Linked DNA regions of Lytechinus pictus. The protein of the gene in region 1 purifies or fractionates together with the protein of each later gene. This does not show direct contact. Links are inferred from orthologs where the notes say so. Each region holds a gene or a part of one and is shown on either strand. Other genes may lie near its edges. The genes, in order: eukaryotic translation initiation factor 2-alpha kinase 3-like and transducin beta-like protein 2.

Region 1 (8,940 bases):
TAAATTGTCCAGTTTCATGCAGGTCAGTTTGCCTATATAATAAACAAAACTCATTTCGCGTTTTGCGCACGTATTTTAATTTTAGTAATATACTTATCCTTTCCATGGTGCTTGGAATGTTCTGTTTTCAGGTCGGTATATCAACAAAATTTAGAATGCTCTTCGTGCTCACATTATTTGTTTAGTGATCATCTTCATGGATTCAAACGGTGCTTGAAATGATGTCCCATTTTCTCTGGTTCCCGAGAATATCCAATGATTTTAATGTAAGGGGAAAGTGGAGGGCAACTGAAAGTGGTGGCGGCATGCAGATTTTTTAAATGAATTTTTAGATTTAGATTTATTTATTTCCGTTCAAAAATGATATAATCGAAGCAACAGTGTAAATACATGTTCAAATTAACACATACTCAAAATAATACATACAGTTCAATGACATTTCATAACAAAATTTTCACAAGCTTTTTTTACAAGCTCTGTTTTTCTTGGCAAGTCAGTTAATTTATCTTCAATATTTAATATTGAAGATAAATTAACTGAACTGACCTGCTAAGAAAAGCAGAGCTTGTAAAAAAAGGCAAGTCCCTAAACTTAGTTCCAATACTAATTAACATAACCTATATACATGAGACGGACGGAAAACGAACTTAAAATACGTAATCTACAAAATACCAAAATAGAGCGAATAAGCGACAACAAAAATGGAAAGTAATTAAGATAATAATTGTAATGATAACGATAATAACGATAGAATTTTAAGTAGACGGAAATCATAAAAGTGGAAAAAGGGAGGCAAATGAAAGAGAGAGAGAGGGAGAAAAAGTGGTGCAATTAAAACTGAAAATGAAAAGAGGAAATGGCAGGTACACAGGTCATAAGGCACTGTCGTGACATTATTTAGAATATATATATAATTAGACAAATTTATTGATAGTAAAAGATTAGATTTAGATACTTTTAGTTGCAGTTATATTAGCTTAACTTATTGGTGTGGAGTATTGACAAATTAGCATGCAGAGGCTGAACCCCCCCCCAAAAAAAAAAAAAAAAAAAAAAAAAAAACAGAGAGCATATACTGAGACGGCACGGATCGTGTGGTTAGAGCATTGGACTCTTAATCGCAAGGTTGTGAGTTCGAATCCCCACTCTGCCATTGTCTCCACTTTCAATTCAAATGTCCCCTGAGCATGGGCGGAAATCCAATGCAGGGGGGACAGGGGGACGCGTCCTCCTCCCCCATTTTTGGAAAGGGGGTAACGCAATATCAAATGCCCCCCCCCCACACTATATTTGTGGTATTTTTTAATGGAAAAAATACATCATTAAAAAAAATCAAAATAACGAAGTCAAAGTGCTTAAATTTTCCCAAATTTGCATTCTAAAATCCCAAGTTTCTCGCGCGGTCGCTCCGCTCCCACGCTCCTTTTAATCTTAAAAGAGTTTGGCCATGACAATTCCCTACGATTAGCGTACGTATTCCAAAGATTATATATCGCCTGCATCATAAGAGCATGGCAGCATGGTTATAATACTTATATTAGTTACCAATTAATTTTAAATGTGGTTATAAATTTAATCATAAACCAATAAAACAATCATCGAATAAACTGGCGTGATTGTGTGGGGGCTCATTTACAATCTTTGTGGAAGTGGGGGATAATAAATTTTGTACAAAAAATATAGCCATACCCTAGTAGTGTACGATGAGTTACTGATGGCATTGACTAAATCAATGGCGTTAATGAAACACAGAGGCAATTATACACTGTTAAAATATTAGTAATTTTACAAAGAAAAATCGTAAATTTACAGGATGCTTACCTTTTAAAAACAGACGACACAATGATTTAACAAACCAAATGTATTTATGCAGTGATCTGTAACGTAGAATTTCAAGTTAAATGTAAAACAAAGTGAAATATAGTAATTTTTTGTAAAAATACCAACGAACTATCGTGTTTTTACGTTGATTGCATGCAGTCCATCGTATAAATAGTGTTCGTATTTGTAAATAACGGGGATTTTCATGTTAAATGAATATTAAAATGGTGTTTTTATTTATTTATTTTATTTTTTACAGTAATCCAGCTTTTTGCATTTTTACAGCCCATCGTAATTTAACAGTTCATACTGTTTGTGAGTCCCATGCAGCTGCCAGTAATAATTACTGTTTTTTGTTAATACTTTTATTTTTAACAGTGTATATAAGAGCAGCAATATTTCCAACACACTTTACAATTTCATCCGTTTATTATGCCTGTAGGAAACTTTAAATCACATTTATTCCATAACAGTCTAATAAATATGTCATATGAATTTGTCTTGAATTTTGAATGTTACTTCATCTCCCAATATTGAAGATTATTTTAAATCTTTCCTTTCTGCAATATCTTTATTTCAATTAGCATCACCGTACCATTTCCACGGGGTTTGTGTTGTAGCCTGTGATGGCCTATAATCATATCACAAAGCATTTCTAATTCCCAGGCCTTAATCTCGGTAATCATGACCCCATTTTTAAATCATTCTCATCTCACCTTTAACCAATGAGCAAACGAGTTTTCATTTAACAATATCTGGACAGTTTAGCCCTCATTTGCTCTTTATATTTCTTCTGTTCTTATATTCTTTTTTTCTCCTCGAAAGTTTACGTTATTGATAATATAGCGCTATCATCCCCTGTAATATAATTTCTGCATATCATTTTAAACGAATGAAGAATTTCAAACGACTGAAACTGTTTCAAGGCTCGCTCACTACGATCACTCGCAGCATTTCTTAATAATTACACGCAATTAAAAGACAATTTTGGTCATCATTCTGTCTTCCAACTATTAAAATTTTTGCTTGCTCGCTCGCACAGTGATGTTTACTCTAAGTCATGAACACTAGTGTACCTACGGGGGGGGGGCAGACTGCCCCCTGACGAGTCACAACCCATGCAAGGGACATATCCCTGCCCCCCTGACGAGTCCTGAAGAGTCAATTTTTTTTATTTTTTTTTTGCTTGTCAAATTTTTTTCTGATACGAAATCCTTTATTTGTGGTTGAAAACCTTTTTTTTTTTGCTTGTCAAATTTTTTGGCGGACGAATTTGCCCCCCCCCCCCCTGTGGAAAATCCTAGGTACGCCACTGGTCATGAATATACATTACAATATATAGCCATCGAAAAAAATCGCAAAAGGAAAGATGGTAGTATTATGTCCACATTTACAGTATATACTTAGTACGTACATTGCCCGTGATGCACTCATACCACTTATTTATTTATTTATTTTTGTTTTCTTTAGACAGTCTCTTCAGTACATAAAAACTGCTTTTCGAGAGAGCCATGTACATATAAAAATACAAATAACAATCATAATACAATGGCGAACAATTACAGAATTAATTAATTAATGAACTTGAAAGAGGTTTTAGGACACCATTCTGTCTTTAAAGTTTTAACAACTGAAAATTTTCTCGCTCGCTTTGCTCGCTAGCATATTGATATTGACTGTAATTCATTACTTTAATCACAACAAATCCATTACAATAGAGCCATTGAAATGGTAATAGGCATTTAACTGAAAGATGGTAGTACTGTGTACACGGTCATATACCCCCGTACAGCCCTCGGTGTGCTTATGCATGGGGGTGTCCCCAACATTTTGAATTTTCAGGTCAATATGTTGCTATCACCTCCCCCCTCACTGCTTGGACCAGATTTACGTCAGTAAAATGTATAGTATAACAATGGAAATTCAATTGTTTCCCCTAGCTCCCCCACCTTTGAGGAGCGATTTCCGCCCATGCCCTTGAGTTCCAGCCCCGATAGCTATATAATATAGTACTAGTGGCAATTCGTGAATTGCAATTTACAAGACTGAACTAGTGAAATACTTCAAGTGAAAATACAAAATGATCGACGCTACAGAACTCTTTCCCTGTCTTATTATTTGTATCATTTCATGTCATCATGTAAGAAAAGGAAAAAACATAAGACTAAACATTCATCCGAAATAACAAGTATTGTGGAATATGGACAATTTCGCGGAAGTAGTGCCCCCCCCCCCCCGCGCCCCCGATGCATGCACGGGGAAATATTGCATTTTAATTCGCCCCATGCAGATGGGTGCAGATCAACAATTTAAGAAAGGGGGTCAGTACAATAAAAAAATCAAAACAAAGGGGGGGGGGCGGGGGCCTATACACTACACACATGTTTAATACCCTCTCCTTATTTTCTCTCATCCACCCGCCACGAACCTCACTTCAACTTAATTTTATCCCATATGGTATTGGCAAGTAAGATATAATGTACCCAGCAGCCATAATAGTTATCACTCCAATAACACCCCCCTTGGACGCAGAGGGCAAGTACGTATTTTGTTCACACCCCCCCCCCCCCCCCCCCCCCACTCCCACACCCTCTCTCTTCCTCTCGATCAGCCGCGCTTGAAGGTTTATGCATGTTCGGATATCGGATCGGATCGATGGTGCGATGTGATCGCAGTATTTGACCGGTCACGGATCAATAGTCACGTGATCAACAAAAACGTAAATACACGTCAGGCTAATCAACGCGGAAAGTTCCACATCATTCAACTTTTCAGATTGATAGGTATTGTAGGAGTGGTGATTCATTGTTCTCGACTCTCATTTTGACCATTCCCGATTGAAGCAGCAAATGTTTGATGGATGCAGCTAACAATAGAGCAAATCTAACGAGGATTTGCTCACTTTTGGCTTGCATCATTATCTTCACGAACATTTCGCAAGCCGAATCGGCCGAGGGGAACCCCGGGACTTCAGGCGAGAATAATAACAGTGAGCGTTTGAGCGGCAGTTCCAGGCTTCAGAATGCTGTTCATCGTCCGTCACCAGAGAGTTGTTCAGCCTCACACTCACAGGGTGTTAATAGGTGATTACTGAACTTTAAATGGGTACTCAATTTGAATGAAAAGTAGTTGGTTTGACTTTGAATGAAAAAGAGTTTTAAGTAGACTAGAGAATTTAACTCACTGACCAAACTTACGTAGTTAGGCAATATTCCAAAAACAAAAAACAGTGACAATTTCAAAATTTTCAATCCAGATTCCAGTGTTGGAAGTTGAAATTGTCTGGACTCTCGTTTTCATTCATTGTCTCATTTCCAAGACGGGCAAGCCATTGGCAAAAGAAGTGAACAAGAATATTGTTTCTGAATATGGCCACTTTTATTTCTGAAAAATATGGAAAGAAATTTTTATAAAATTTTTAATAATATGTGTACTGTAGCTGTTCTGGAGCCCGTTGCAGAAAGAGTTGCGTTTAAACGCAAGCCAAAAAATCAATCGCATGTAACAAATGCGCGCTGTTGATTGGTTGAAAATCAAGTTGCGCATGATTTTTAGAGTTGCAATTGATTGCAACTCTTTCTGCAACGGGCCCCAGGCCTGATCGAAAAGGGACCTGTTGAAGACTTTTTGCAGTTAGCCATTAAGACGATACACTTTTCATCAATTAAATAATGCAAGCGCGAGCTGAAAATTTTTGATATTCCGGCCGAAAAAATTGACATTCTAACTCTAAGCACTTTTTGTAATCATGAACAGGATCTATGGTATATAATAAGTAGAACTAAACAATGAAGTGCGAGCGGAAAAAAAATTGAGATTTCAGACCTAAAATCTGGACACTATTCATGTTTTTGTAAATTATGGAAAAAGATGGGTTATTTGTTATCTTCTTACACTAATAATGCGAGCGCGAAGCGCGAGCAGAAATTTTTTGATATTCTCATCTGAAACTGGATAATTTAGGCATTTTTTATTAAAGAACAAGCTGCATATGAGTATATCTCAATAAACATGCATGCACATGTTTTAGAGTTAGACAGAATCTTGGCATTCTGAATACTTTTTTTTTGTTATGAAAATCAATAATGCGAGCGCGAAGCCCGAGCTGAAAATATTATATTCTGATCAAAGGGTCAATTTACATGTAAGCACTATTTCAAGCACTGTGTAGGAAAATTGCAAAGTGGATGTGAACGCACTTAATAAATGATGCGAGCGAGAAGCGCAAGCTGATATTTTTTATTATTTTGACCTAGGACCTGGATATTCTAAGGATATTTTGTCATATGAAAATGATGACTATATGCATTGACACTATCAATGGCTACAATGCCTTGTTCGGTATTCCTATTCCTTCTTCTTCTTCTACTGTCTGCTTCTTTTTCCACAAAATCCCATTCGTTTAACATGTGGTTCTTGTGAGCCCTGCCTAGGCTCCATCCCTTATCTTAATTCTCCCAAATTTGGTACACATGTTGTCCATGACCCATTGTTGTGCACCTCGTATTTCATTTTCCCAAATCACTCATGCATGACCGTGCAGGCGCCATTTTGTCAATTTCAAGTCCATTTGCCTACCATTCTTCATTCTTTCATATCTCCGTTATCCTGCATGCTACAGACTTCTAACAAATTGCTATAGATAGGTAAAGAGTTGCTCTATCATTTGCGACCATAACCTGCCCTTCAAAATGACATCGTCATTCAAATCAAATTTGATCATAACTTTGCTTTCTGTGCCAGGCCTCTGATGATCCTGAGCACGGTGGATGGGAAGGTACTTGCCTTGGACATCCAGAATGCTGGCCAACAGCAGTGGAGTATGGATGCTGGCATTGGACCTCTACTCTCATCATCCATCAGTCAATTTGAGGTAAAGAAAATTATCCCTTTTTTTTTACCAATGAAAACATTTTTCTAACCGAAAATGAATTAATTGTACTCTTGCAATCAATAAGGTGGTTTTTCAGTGTGAAAGTGTTGCTTTGAGAGGGGTTAGCTGCGTACATTTATTTCAGCATTACATTTTTAAAAAGTTTTTTTGGTCGATGAAAGAATATCAGTGTTTTGATACAATAAAAAGGAGCTTTACATTATTTTTGCAGTACACATAACCTGAAGTATAATACTTGATTTGAGTAGGGTAATGAAACTTACAGTGATAAAGTACCTTGTAAAACGTGTGTGAAATTGACAAGTTGAAAACCTCTTTTGATAGGTATGATTTCCAAAAAAAAAATCAGTCATTAAGGCTGCAGAGAAAGAGTTGCAGCATTGTTGAAGAAATTCTGGTGAAGACTGAAGGGGATGATTGAATTAGAAATAGAACACCACCAATCTCTTCATTTTATTTCCATTTGAATGATTAATTCCCATCAACTGTCAGTAACAAATATACTGTATAAAACAGTAAAATTATGATTGAAAGATAGAGGAGATCGCAAGAAAAGCATAAGAGCTTTATAATTATGCTCCCTGATATTCTTTCAGATCATGGGCCCTGAAGGAGTATACAAGGTGATACCATCGTTGAACGGGGGTCTGTTCAAATGGGATGGGGAGACTCTTGAAGCAGTTCCGTTCACAGCAGAATCCCTTCTCAGTACCTCATTCAGGCTCAACGAAGAGACGATGATGGTCGGTGGCAAGGAGATCCATACGTTTGGCATCAATGCTAGAACTGGAGAGGTATGTTGGGTTGATAAAAAAAAACTTTTCAAATCTTCTTTGTGGTGATACAAGATTTTATTATTTTTTAAATATTTCTCTTGTTCATCTTTTTTTTATTAAGTAAGGGCCATTAAATCTTTCCTCTTTTTTTTACATAATTTATGTTTTTCATGAAATTAGATCAGAAACAATTACAAGTAATCAAGTTGGATTTTGAAAATAAAAGTAAATATTATCAAAAGATCAACTTTGCAATAGAACACATAACTTCAAAGATCAAATCAAGGATGGTACCTGGCATTACATCATCATATTTGAATATGTTTAAAAAGTGAATTATTATTGGAAGTATCTGCAGTATTTTGGGGGATTATTATAGAATATAGCTCAAAATATGAAATTTTTCATTAATTTTTTTAATCATATGATATTTGTTAATTTTGTTTAGATGATACATTTTTTGAAAAGTTTATTTAGAAGGTAATAAAGACAAAAGAGAAATGCTAGTCCATTATGATTAAAATTTCATTGAATTTAAACTTTTCTCTATCCTTTACCTCACAGGTGCACTATATTTGTGGTACTGGTGGATGTCAACTGTATGGAGACGAAGCTGCTGATGACCAAGACATCATTGTCATTCAGCAGACCAGGCAAACAGTGAGGGCAGTAGACCAAAGAAATGGCTTAGAAAAGTATGTTCACAGATTCAATTGAATGAACATAAATTTGTCAAAAAATGGTGTTGGTTTGCAAAGTGAGGTTGCATGTAACTTGCTGATTGATAAAAGAAATTACATGAATGAAACAATTTATTTGATTATTTACTGTATTCCTCACAATATCAGATCTTTTTTCATGAAAAGCTTAAAAAATGATGAAAATAATGACAATGATTGATGAAGATCATAATAAACATTAAACATCATTCACAAATCATTAATACCAAGAAAGTATTTACCAGTATGCACTTTTACAAAGATGTAAATTAGTGAAGTAAATATAGATATCTTATATACAAAAAAGTACAATTTTTATGGAACAAATTTCATCAATGTATTGAGTTTTCTGCCCAATATTGAACTGTTTTAGATTCATAGTGCAGATTTAATTAGCATAAGTGTTGTGATTTGTCTCACCATATCTGAACACTACGAAATGTTGCTTAGCTAAGTTAGAAGAGACAACAACTTTTTTAAAATAATCTCTTCTCTTTTATAATATTCTAGATAATCATTTTAGTGCCCATGTAAAATGATGTGTCTGTAGGATTTATGATATTGATGTGGGTTTGTGTTATTTGATAAACTATCCGAATCTCAAACCACGACCGGTCAATAGTAATAACCATAAGTACCAGTATTGGCAAATTTTCTGGTTAGCTGAAATAAATGACTGGTCATGTGACATATTTCAGCCAATCATTAGATGAGGTTCCCTATTATCATG
Region 2 (9,928 bases), on another chromosome or scaffold:
TGGCGGACCGTGACCTGGAGGAGACAAAGCATTGGAGGGGCACAGCATTGTTCACAAACCATACAGTGCCCCTCCAATCATTGTCTCCTCCGGGTCACGGTCCGCCACTGGTATTGACTATCCCCATTTTCAGGTTAGGTGTTGTGGTTGGTTTTTATTTTGACCCATATTCACTGCACTGATTCCCTGAACAGATTATGTGTAATGTTGGGTGTTCCAAACAATGTTACATGTATGTGGCTGTTGAACTGGTGTTGTATTGAATGTCTACTTTACCTTCAGAACACGAAGCAACATATTTGCCATTGATACTGAAATCCAGATCGAGAACATTGTGACTGTGTTCCTTGAGTGAGGAAGCTAGGAGAGGATGAGTAAATGCCTTCTGTGAGGACTTCTTATTGCCATGGTTACCAGATTTTGTTTGCTTCTTGGTCACTTGGTTTGGTTTCTTCTCTTTATGTTTCTTCTCATTAGTCTCTGAAGAGAGAAAAAAAAGCAAGAATGATGATCCAATCGAAAATCAAAATTCGAACTTTCAGAATGTAAAAGTGCAAATCATAAGTTTCTTATCAAAACCTTACTTGTAACTCTTACACCACTATACAGCTGAAATCGGTCTGTTTGGAGGAGTTTTTACACATGAATTTTTAAAAAGAAGTTTTTTTACTTTCTCCTTCACAGATGGCTAGTCATCTTGCAAATTGTGTGAGGGACCTAATCCTGATAGCCTATATTCTTTGGGTCCCCCAACAGGTGGAAAGTAAAATTTCAATAAAATTGTAATTTTTTAAATCTCTTTTTCCAATTCAGAAACAAATAATAAACGAATTAAAAAAGAGTCAAGTCATGATGAATAGTTTATATTTCCCATTTTTAATGAAGTAAAAATACAATATTTTACAATATAATGATTACAAAGCTGATATTCAGTATTGATGCTACTGAAAGGAGACTCGTTTTCCATGGCAGTTTTTTTTTTTTTTTTTTTGGGGGGGGGAGGGGGCCATCCAGGGTTGGCACGTTTTAAACGGTGTGTTTTAAAACATGTTTTAAAACGCGTTTTAAAACACCACATAGGCTTGTGTGTTGTAAATTTGCATGGATGTGATTTTAGATAAATGTTTTTTTTTCATACTTTTATTTCTGAAGTGGTGTACTATTTTCTTCTAACTAATTAAAACTCTTTCTCAACACCACTCTTTTTCTCCTCTTTCTCTTTCCCTCCTTCTCCCCTTCTCCATTGCTTTGTCATGTTCCTTTCTTCCTTTCAATTGTGTACATCAATCTATACACAACAAAAAGTCCCCCCTTAAACAAACATCAATAATTTCCGAACCAATGCGAGTTTTTAATATATTTTTACATGAGCGTGTAGGTAATTTTATAAGCTACCTCTGAGTAAACGTTATGGACCTATTTCACTTCATGCTTCAGTAGGCACCGTCAGAAGGCAAAAATGTCCCTTTTCAAAAGTCACAAGCCAAATATCATGACTTTGATTCCATTTTATTGGAACCAATTCCACATTCTCATCATAAAAAATTGTCAGAAGGCTTGTAAAATGTACTCTCTAAAAGACGATACAACTTTTTTGGCTAAATTTCACGGTTGAATAAACACAAGTCCAAATTTGCTATAATTGGATTTTTTACACATTTATATCAATAAAAATGATAGAATATGATGACAGTTATTTTTGGAAGAGTTTCTTCAACAATATTCATCGTTTCACGGTTCAATGAACATTTATTGAAAACAAAAAATACGATTTTCAAATATCTTAGGCAAGTATTGGTTCATTTTGGGAACTGAAAATGATCTTTTCTCAACTTTTTCGTTATGTTCACGACCAATTAACATGCTTCAATGATTCAAAGGCGTTTAATTAAATATCCACGCTTGAATGAACATGTGGAATGCGATTAGCTCTTTTTTACGTTATTGGAAAAAATGCAATTTGCTACAATGGATATCTGTCACAAACCTCCTTGCATAGTTCATTTGATTTGATTTTTATGAAAATCCCGATGTTTAATGCATCAGTGAGCACACAATATTCGAAAATTATGCAAATGAGAAGAAAGTTCAAGGCCTTGGCCCCACTCTGTGTCGTATCGAATGGTTATTTTGGTGTGCGCGCCTTTTGGATAGTGTTACTCTGAAGCCATGTACGAAGTTTCATGAAATAACTATTGGCAGAAGTAACAAAAACCGTCCATGAAACAAATCCTCATTTCATATTTGTTAAAATTATGACTTCGTTTCTCATAGACCTGTGTACATTATGGGTGCACATGTTTAAGAATAAGTAACCCCTTATTCAATATGGTGGAACTTTTTTTCACGGCTGTCTTTAGCAATGTCATTTGGCAGTAATGTTTATCAACCTAAGGGCAGAATTCTGTGCAAAAATGAAATCGATTTGTCTATTTATGGATGAGTGAGCACGCATCAAAGTGGAAAATTTTGTATTTTCAATGTCACAGACTCATTTTAAAGGGTAATAAAGTGAATATTGGGGGCATATTCGGTTTCAAATAAGACTTTAATTCCTATTGTTTTTATCATCCATCATTTCTATCACCACACACTTTCCGAACTTTAAACATTTTCATGGTTGAGCGAGCACATTCGAAAACTTAGGAATAAATACTCTTTATACTGCATAAATGTATTCTTTTCCTAACAATTTCTCATGATCAGTTTAATTTATGGACAAATCAGTGATGGGTCCAGAATTTTAAAATGGGGGAGGGGCCTATAATCGGGGGAGCCACCAACATTTTCAAATTTTAACATGATCTAACAAGTTGCAGAAGATACAACCATAAACCCCTATGATGATACGTTACAATACAGGGGCCGGGGAAGGGTTTTCAAAGTGGGGGGGGGGGGGCTGACCATGCAAAAAATCACAATCGTATGGTCATTTTTACATTTTTGTACATGCAAGTACAAAAAAGTGGGGGGATGAAGCTCCCCGCCCAGCCCCCCCCCCCCCCGCTTCTGAGGCCCCTGCAATATATTGTGCTCACTCAACCATGAATATATGATATCAAAATTGTGTGTGGAGTGGCTAAATGATGGATAGTAAAACAGCATAACACCATAAAATTCACCTAAAGACAACATTTGCCCAATTTTGTATGTGCACAATCTGAAAAACGACTCTTGTGACTTTCAAAAATGGTCATTTTTAATTCAATCTTTAATTACTCATGCATGACTCAACCGATCAATCTTATTTTTCTCCGGGAGTTGCTTAATGAGTGTAGAAAACCATCTACGGAATATCATATCTCAAAATAATTCCGTTCAAAAGTTACAGCAATTTGATTTAGGGGGGACTTACTTTTTTTGTTGTGTATATATTAAGAATATTTTCATTTCAACAAACATATCTAAGTGATGTGCTCACTTTTTGGACAGGGAAAGTAACACTATTTAAAATAAGCTCAAATACATAGTAGTACTTGAATGAAATGGAAGTGTTGCACAAGCATAATGATATCTCATAATGATATCGCGGACTACGCGTCGCCTTCTTGCACAAAGGCCGTTAACACGCACTGTTTACTGCGTGTTAATGGCCTTTCATGGCGCTTCAACAATCACTGTCAAGATTTAATCCAAGTCAGCTTGTTGTCATCGGGGGCGACTTTAACCTCCCAGGCTGGGACTGGACAAACCAGACAGTGAAGGCGTGCAGCCATCCTGCTCTTCACCATAAGTTTGGGGAAATGTTGGATGATCATGGCCTTACCCAACTTGTAGAAGAACCTACAAGACGGCTCACACTCTGGACTTGTTCCTCACCAACAATCCCACCCTTGCCTTCAATGTATGTGTCCTTCCTAGCATATCGGATCATGACTGTCACGACTCTGCTGACCTTTGACATGAAACCATCAAGAAGGCATCAAATGCCTAGAAAGGTTCCAGTCTACAGCAAAGCAGACTGGGAAGGGTTCAAGGACAGCATGTCAAAAGTAGCTGATGAAATATCATCCAAGCTCAAGGAAGCCTCCACGGCTCCACTAGTGAATTATGGGACATATTTCAAGCAGGAATCAAGAATGGTATCGAGGCACACATTCCTCATACAATGTTGAAGCCCAGAGCCAACCTACCTTGGGTGACTGCAAAAATTAGAAAGCTCATCAAGAAAAGGAGTAGGGTTGTCAAGAAATGTACAAACATCTTGAAATCCAGAGGACTTCTTCCATATAACCAGGGTGCTACATAACTTTTTAGAAGCACTTGCCCGGTCAGGCAAGTAAATTTTTAAATAGTTGGAATATACTTGCCCAAAAATCTACTTCACTTGCCCAAAAAAATCATTGAAAAAAAAAGTTACCTCTTCTAAAGAAAGTTTTGCAGCTTTATAAACCATTTCCTTTTTCCAAAGTGATTTTATCTTGCCTGCCACGACCAATATTAGGGTCAGTATATCATATCGACCCTGATTTTGGTCATTCTACTCTGAGAATTTTGCTTGCCCAATTCGGGCAAGTAGTTTTGTTCTTTACTTCAAAACACTTGCCCGACTGTAACTTTTACTTTCCCCGGGCAATCGGGCAAGTGCTTATGTAGCACCCTGCATATAACCTTGAAGAGTATAGCAACAGTCTTAAGAGGATCATCCAGTGAGAGATCAGGAAAGAATACTGGAAATATCTTGAGTCTATCTTCGATGGATCTGATGATGAAGACAATCAATTCATGGCCATGAAACGATTTTGGAGCTTCATTAAGTTCAACCGAAGTGACAGTTGAGGAATTTCCCAACTCAAGTCAGCCGGAAAGAAGCTTACCGACCCCACTGAAAAGGCCAATGCACTCAACCACCAATTCCAATGAGTATTCACTGAAGAGACTCCAGTACCTCCTGACTTGCTTCCCCCTTCTTCGCCTTATGAAACCATGCCAGATATCATCATCACAACAAAAGGCATCAAGAAACTGCTTGACAATCTGAAGCCAAAGAAAGCACCTGGTCCCGATGGCATCACTCCTCTAGTACTCAAGGAGCTATCAGGTATTATTGCTCCATCCCTGAGGGATATCTTCAGGAAGTCCTATATCACTAGGGAGATAGAGCGGAACCAAGCAACTACAGACCCATCTCACTAACTTGCATCGCATGTAAATTGATGGAGCATATCCTTGCAAGTAATATCATGAAGCATGGAAACCACCAGGATATTCTGTACCCTCTTCAGCATGGCTTTAGACAACACAGGTCATGTGAGCTACAATTGTTAGGACTGGTAGACCTGACCAACAACCTTCAAGATGGAAAGCAGACAGACATCTTAGTTCTGGACTTTAGCAAGGCATTTGACAAGGTGGGTCACCAGCGCCTTCTCCGGAAACTGGAGTTCTATGGAGTTAGAGGACATAATAACTGCTTGATTGCCAACTTTCTTCATATCAGGAAGCAGCAAGAGCTCCTGGATGGTCGTAGTTCATCTCAAATTGATGTAAATTCAGGCGTGCCACAGGGCTCTGTCCTCGGCCCCTGCCTCTTTCTCTACTTTATCAATGACCTGCCTGATCAACTCAAGTCAAGAGTCCGACTGTTTGCTGATGATGCTATCATCTTCTCACAGTTCAGTCAGATACTGATGATGACCAGCTGCAACAAGACCTCAACAAACTAAGTGAGTGGACCAGTAAGTGGATGATGGAATTGAACACCAATAAGTGTGAAGTCATCACAGTTACCAGGAAGCAAAACAGGATTGTACAACAGTACAAATTCAACGATGCTATCCTTACTCTTGTAGAAGCAACAAAATATCTTGACAGTGTCACTATCACTTCATACCTGAAGTGGAACAGTCACATCAGCAATGTTTGTCAAAAGGCTAACAACACCCTTGCCTTCCTACGAAGAAACCTGCGAGTAAACTCTCCCAAGTTGAAAGCTACAGCATACCGCTCACTTGTCAGACCTTTGGTAGAATATGCATCTACTGTCTGGAATCCATCTACCTCCAAGAACATCTACAAGCTTGAAATGATCCAACGCAGAGCAGCTAGATTCACACTGAATTGATATCACAATACATCAAGTGTGTCATCGATGCTGTAGGAGCTAGGATGGACATCCCTTCAACAACGACGAGAAATCTCTCGCCTTGTGATGTTCTACAAGATCCACAAAGAGCTTGTCCCATTCAACTCTGATGCATACATAACCAAATGTACTAGATCAACAAGAGCTGTTCACACTCAAGGATATCTCATGCCACAATCACGGACCCAACAACATCAATGCTCCTTCCCCAGAACCATCAAGATGTGGAACACTCTCCCAGTAAATATTGTGACAGCACCATTTGAAAATTATCCAACTCTGGGTAGTTTTTACCAATACTGTGTAGTTTTCACCCAAAGCACACATTATTGGTTTAAAACTGCCCAGAATTTGATAAAGTTTTAACCAATTGTTGTGTGGACAGTATGTTGCCGAACATTTTTAAGAAGGTAAGAAACACCCATACATTTCATTCGCTACACATTTCGAAATTCATGTGGTACCTCTGCCATTATTACCACTGCCATTTTTACCTCTGCCATTTTTTCCTCTGCCATTTTTTCCTCTGCCATTTTTACCCGGCACAGACAGTATGTAGGCCTACCGCGCGCTATAGCATACAGTAACTATTATCCAGCCGGCCGCGCCGGCCGTCTGGCATAAGCTTTGCATGTATGAAACCACTGCAGCTAGCTGTGCACTTGCAGACTATTCAGACTAAGGGAGCTGCGATACGAAATGTTGCTGCTAAGAGATCTTCCACAGAACTTTGAAAATCTACGTCAAAGTCACATTTTACACCAATGAAATGCCCTTCTACAGTCCATATTACTAAAATCTGGTGTAACCTGAATATTTGCAAGCATTAAAAAGAGGAATTATGACCTCTCTTTTGACTCAAAAAGACAGATTTCCAAATGCATTAATACACATAAAACACATAGGTGAGCGCATCACAGTCCCACGTGTGAATTTGTATGTATGTTGATACTTGGTTTCTTTCAAAGCGGTGTCTTTTCTAGCCAAAAATAAACAGACAGTTTCTTGCTTTCTTGTTTATAAATGACTTCTTAAATCACTCTTGAGGAAGTAAATACTTTGGGAATGCATTAATTGATATGAAATGTGAATTATTCCAGCATTTTGGCAAATATAGAGGACTTTTCTCACACTGTTTTTTTCCAGATATAACCTTTGTCGTTTTTTTTTTCTTTCATTTTTTTTTTAGTGGTTAAACCATTTATACCCCTTCCCATTGAATATGCCTGATTAAAGAATATGTTTCTACTGAAAAATAATAATAATAATTTTCCCAATTTTTTATTAATTTTGTTTTATTCATTTTTCTTTCATTTTCTTTTGTTTTTTTTCTCTAAACTTTTTCTTTTTTCTCTGTTCTTTGTTTTTTTCTTTCTTCATTTTCTTTCTTTTGTTTTATTTCACTTATTTATTTTATTATTATTTTTTTCTTTTTTTAATATACTATTCTAAAAATTATTTTTGTTTCCCCTTATTATGCATTGTTCTAACTTTGCAGCATATTTTTCTGTGATTTTCTCCTGCTATAATATGCTGGCAAAGAGAAAATAAACTGGATTTGGGGCCTGCATAATCTAGGTTTTAGGATTCAAAAAGGAAGAAAGGAAAAATAATTGTTTTGTACTTCTATCTGAGTTTGCAATGCACTATTTATTTACTTTACCATTATGAGTGTGTCTATACAGAGATTTAAAAAAAAGTCCACACAACCTGGGAACAATACAATTTTTTTAATCATTTCATATTTACAATGATAGAACAATTTATATATTAGGCCATGAGAAGTAAGGTATTAGATTTGCGTCCGAAAATTTTTCAAATGACATGAGGCTTTTTTTCATTATTCATTATTCATTATCTAGCGGGCGTGTACATTTTGCTTATTCATGACGTCATCCAGCCACTGCCGAGGGCCAATTTATAAATGAAAATATAGTAAGCATGCATACTGCAAGCCTTCCATAGCCCCACACAGTATTCCACCAAAACAAGTTTGCAATTCTCTATCACCTCGTACCAAAATCGACCTAGAATTTCACCTTCCTATATTTTATATGAATTATGAAAGGTATTCTCGGAGGATCTATTTTCTCACCGATACCGCACAGGTAAGTGAATTTCGATTACTTCTTGCTTTTCGGTCAAAATCTTACGAATTAGCGTCGATATGGCATCGTGTTTGTTGGAGTTTGTAGAGTCTATCGCAACGTATACAAAGTCAATTGATTTCCGGGTTTCGGAGCGTCGCGTGAATATATATATTTTTTTTAACAAACAAGTGCACACCTAGTTACCAATAATGCATATAGCATTTCCATTTATTTGAAAGCAGGATAAAAGAGCATTGTAGATTAAATGCCTTGCTCACGGCCATAGGTGCCGCGGCCGGGGATCGAACCCCGGACTTTCCATGTATAGCCAGGCGCCTTAGACCACTCAGCCACGGCACCTCCACTATATGCATGAAATTGCAGAGTCTCGATAATTTTCGATCGATACTAGAGCGATCCGATCACGAACCAAGACCATTTCCCGCGTAGACAATGTGACCGGATATCAAAGGTGCGCTGCAGTGGTATACTGTATGCACGAAGTAAGTGCATAAATATAACCTTTTACTGCCCAGCGATGATTTGGGACATTTGTAATTTCGTGATGGAGAGTAAGTAATGAATTTTTTTTTGAAATAATGAAATTTTCATGCGGGCGGTGGACGCAAATCTAAAACTTTCATTCTCTTGGCCTTACCACAAATCAATTAGCAAAGTAAAATAACAGCAAACAAGATTTACATACAAGACCATATGTACAAAGTGAAAGTAACAGTGGTAGTGGCTGCAGAATTAATATTTCAGAAGTTTGTTTTATTCATGTTTTTTAAAATATTTATCGGGCTACCAAACTTTAATATCGGGCCACCCAAAAAAATTATTTGAAGGTTTAGGTGGCCCAAACGGGCCAACACCAAAAAAAGTTAATGTGGAGCCTTGGCCTTGGTTTATTACTTTATAATATACAATATTTTTGTATTCAGTAGAGGCGCACGGCCAATATTGGAGACTGTCTCCAATGTGGGAGATTATCTCCAATATCAGAGACTTTTGTAAAGAATTTGGGTATCAAATTTCAGAGACAGTCTCCAGTTTTGGAGACCAATTTCCTTTATTTACATTTGCTGCAAAAGGATTACCTTGGCGGCAAATAAAAATGTGATAAGCAGATTCCTCATGAAAAATTACCCCTTCTCACCGTCTACTTTAAAATTTCACCGTCTACTTTTGTTTTGATAAGGATTTTTGTTGTCAATCACACACAAAACAAATGGGCTTCTGACCTGTGAGACAAAATTTTGAGTGGAAAAAAATTATGCTTTTGTTGGTGTTGTTTCTTTTGTCCTTTTGCAAAGCAAGTCTCCAATGTGGGAGATTGTCTCCCCTATTGGCCATGCGCCTAGTACTAGTAGGCACTTCAGGTGAAAATTAGGAAAGGCTGTTCCAGCATATTTGATAGGCTCACAATGAGGCTCAATATCTACGATAAACAAAACTGTTTGAATTTACAAAGTCCGATATCTAGAAGTCAAGTTATTGTCATCTTTGTGATGAAAAAACAGTGCTTTTTGTGGACAAAAGAAGATTACGAAATCTTATTATTCTCTTTGTTTTGGGCATGGCACATTTATAATACATAGCTTATGGGGAATTGTACAAGCTTTTTATTTAAATCTTAAAGTACTCATATTGATTTGACATATTGGCATATGATTTCTTTGGTTCAAGGGCAACTTCCCCTGGACGATAACCCCCCACCCCCACCCCCGGACAATTCCCCTCCCCCACCCCC

What was found.
Region 2: the proteins of eukaryotic translation initiation factor 2-alpha kinase 3-like (region 1) and transducin beta-like protein 2 purify together in Homo sapiens (affinity purification with western blotting; 3 studies listed by BioGRID). This does not show direct contact. The link is inferred for Lytechinus pictus from reciprocal best matches to the Homo sapiens genes EIF2AK3 and TBL2.

The regions. Positions count from the first base shown.
Region 1 is NC_087256.1:21,450,229-21,459,168, reverse strand, and holds the start of eukaryotic translation initiation factor 2-alpha kinase 3-like, read left to right. Parts: upstream 1-4,516; 5' UTR 4,517-4,677; coding exon 4,678-4,904; intron 4,905-6,564; coding exon 6,565-6,694; intron 6,695-7,311; coding exon 7,312-7,509; intron 7,510-8,055; coding exon 8,056-8,186; intron 8,187-8,940. UniProt on the Homo sapiens protein: Metabolic-stress sensing protein kinase that phosphorylates the alpha subunit of eukaryotic translation initiation factor 2 (EIF2S1/eIF-2-alpha) in response to various stress, such as unfolded protein response (UPR).
Region 2 is NC_087246.1:5,231,530-5,241,457, forward strand, and holds the start of transducin beta-like protein 2, read right to left. Parts: upstream 3,875-9,928; coding exon 3,772-3,874; intron 481-3,771; coding exon 277-480; intron 1-276.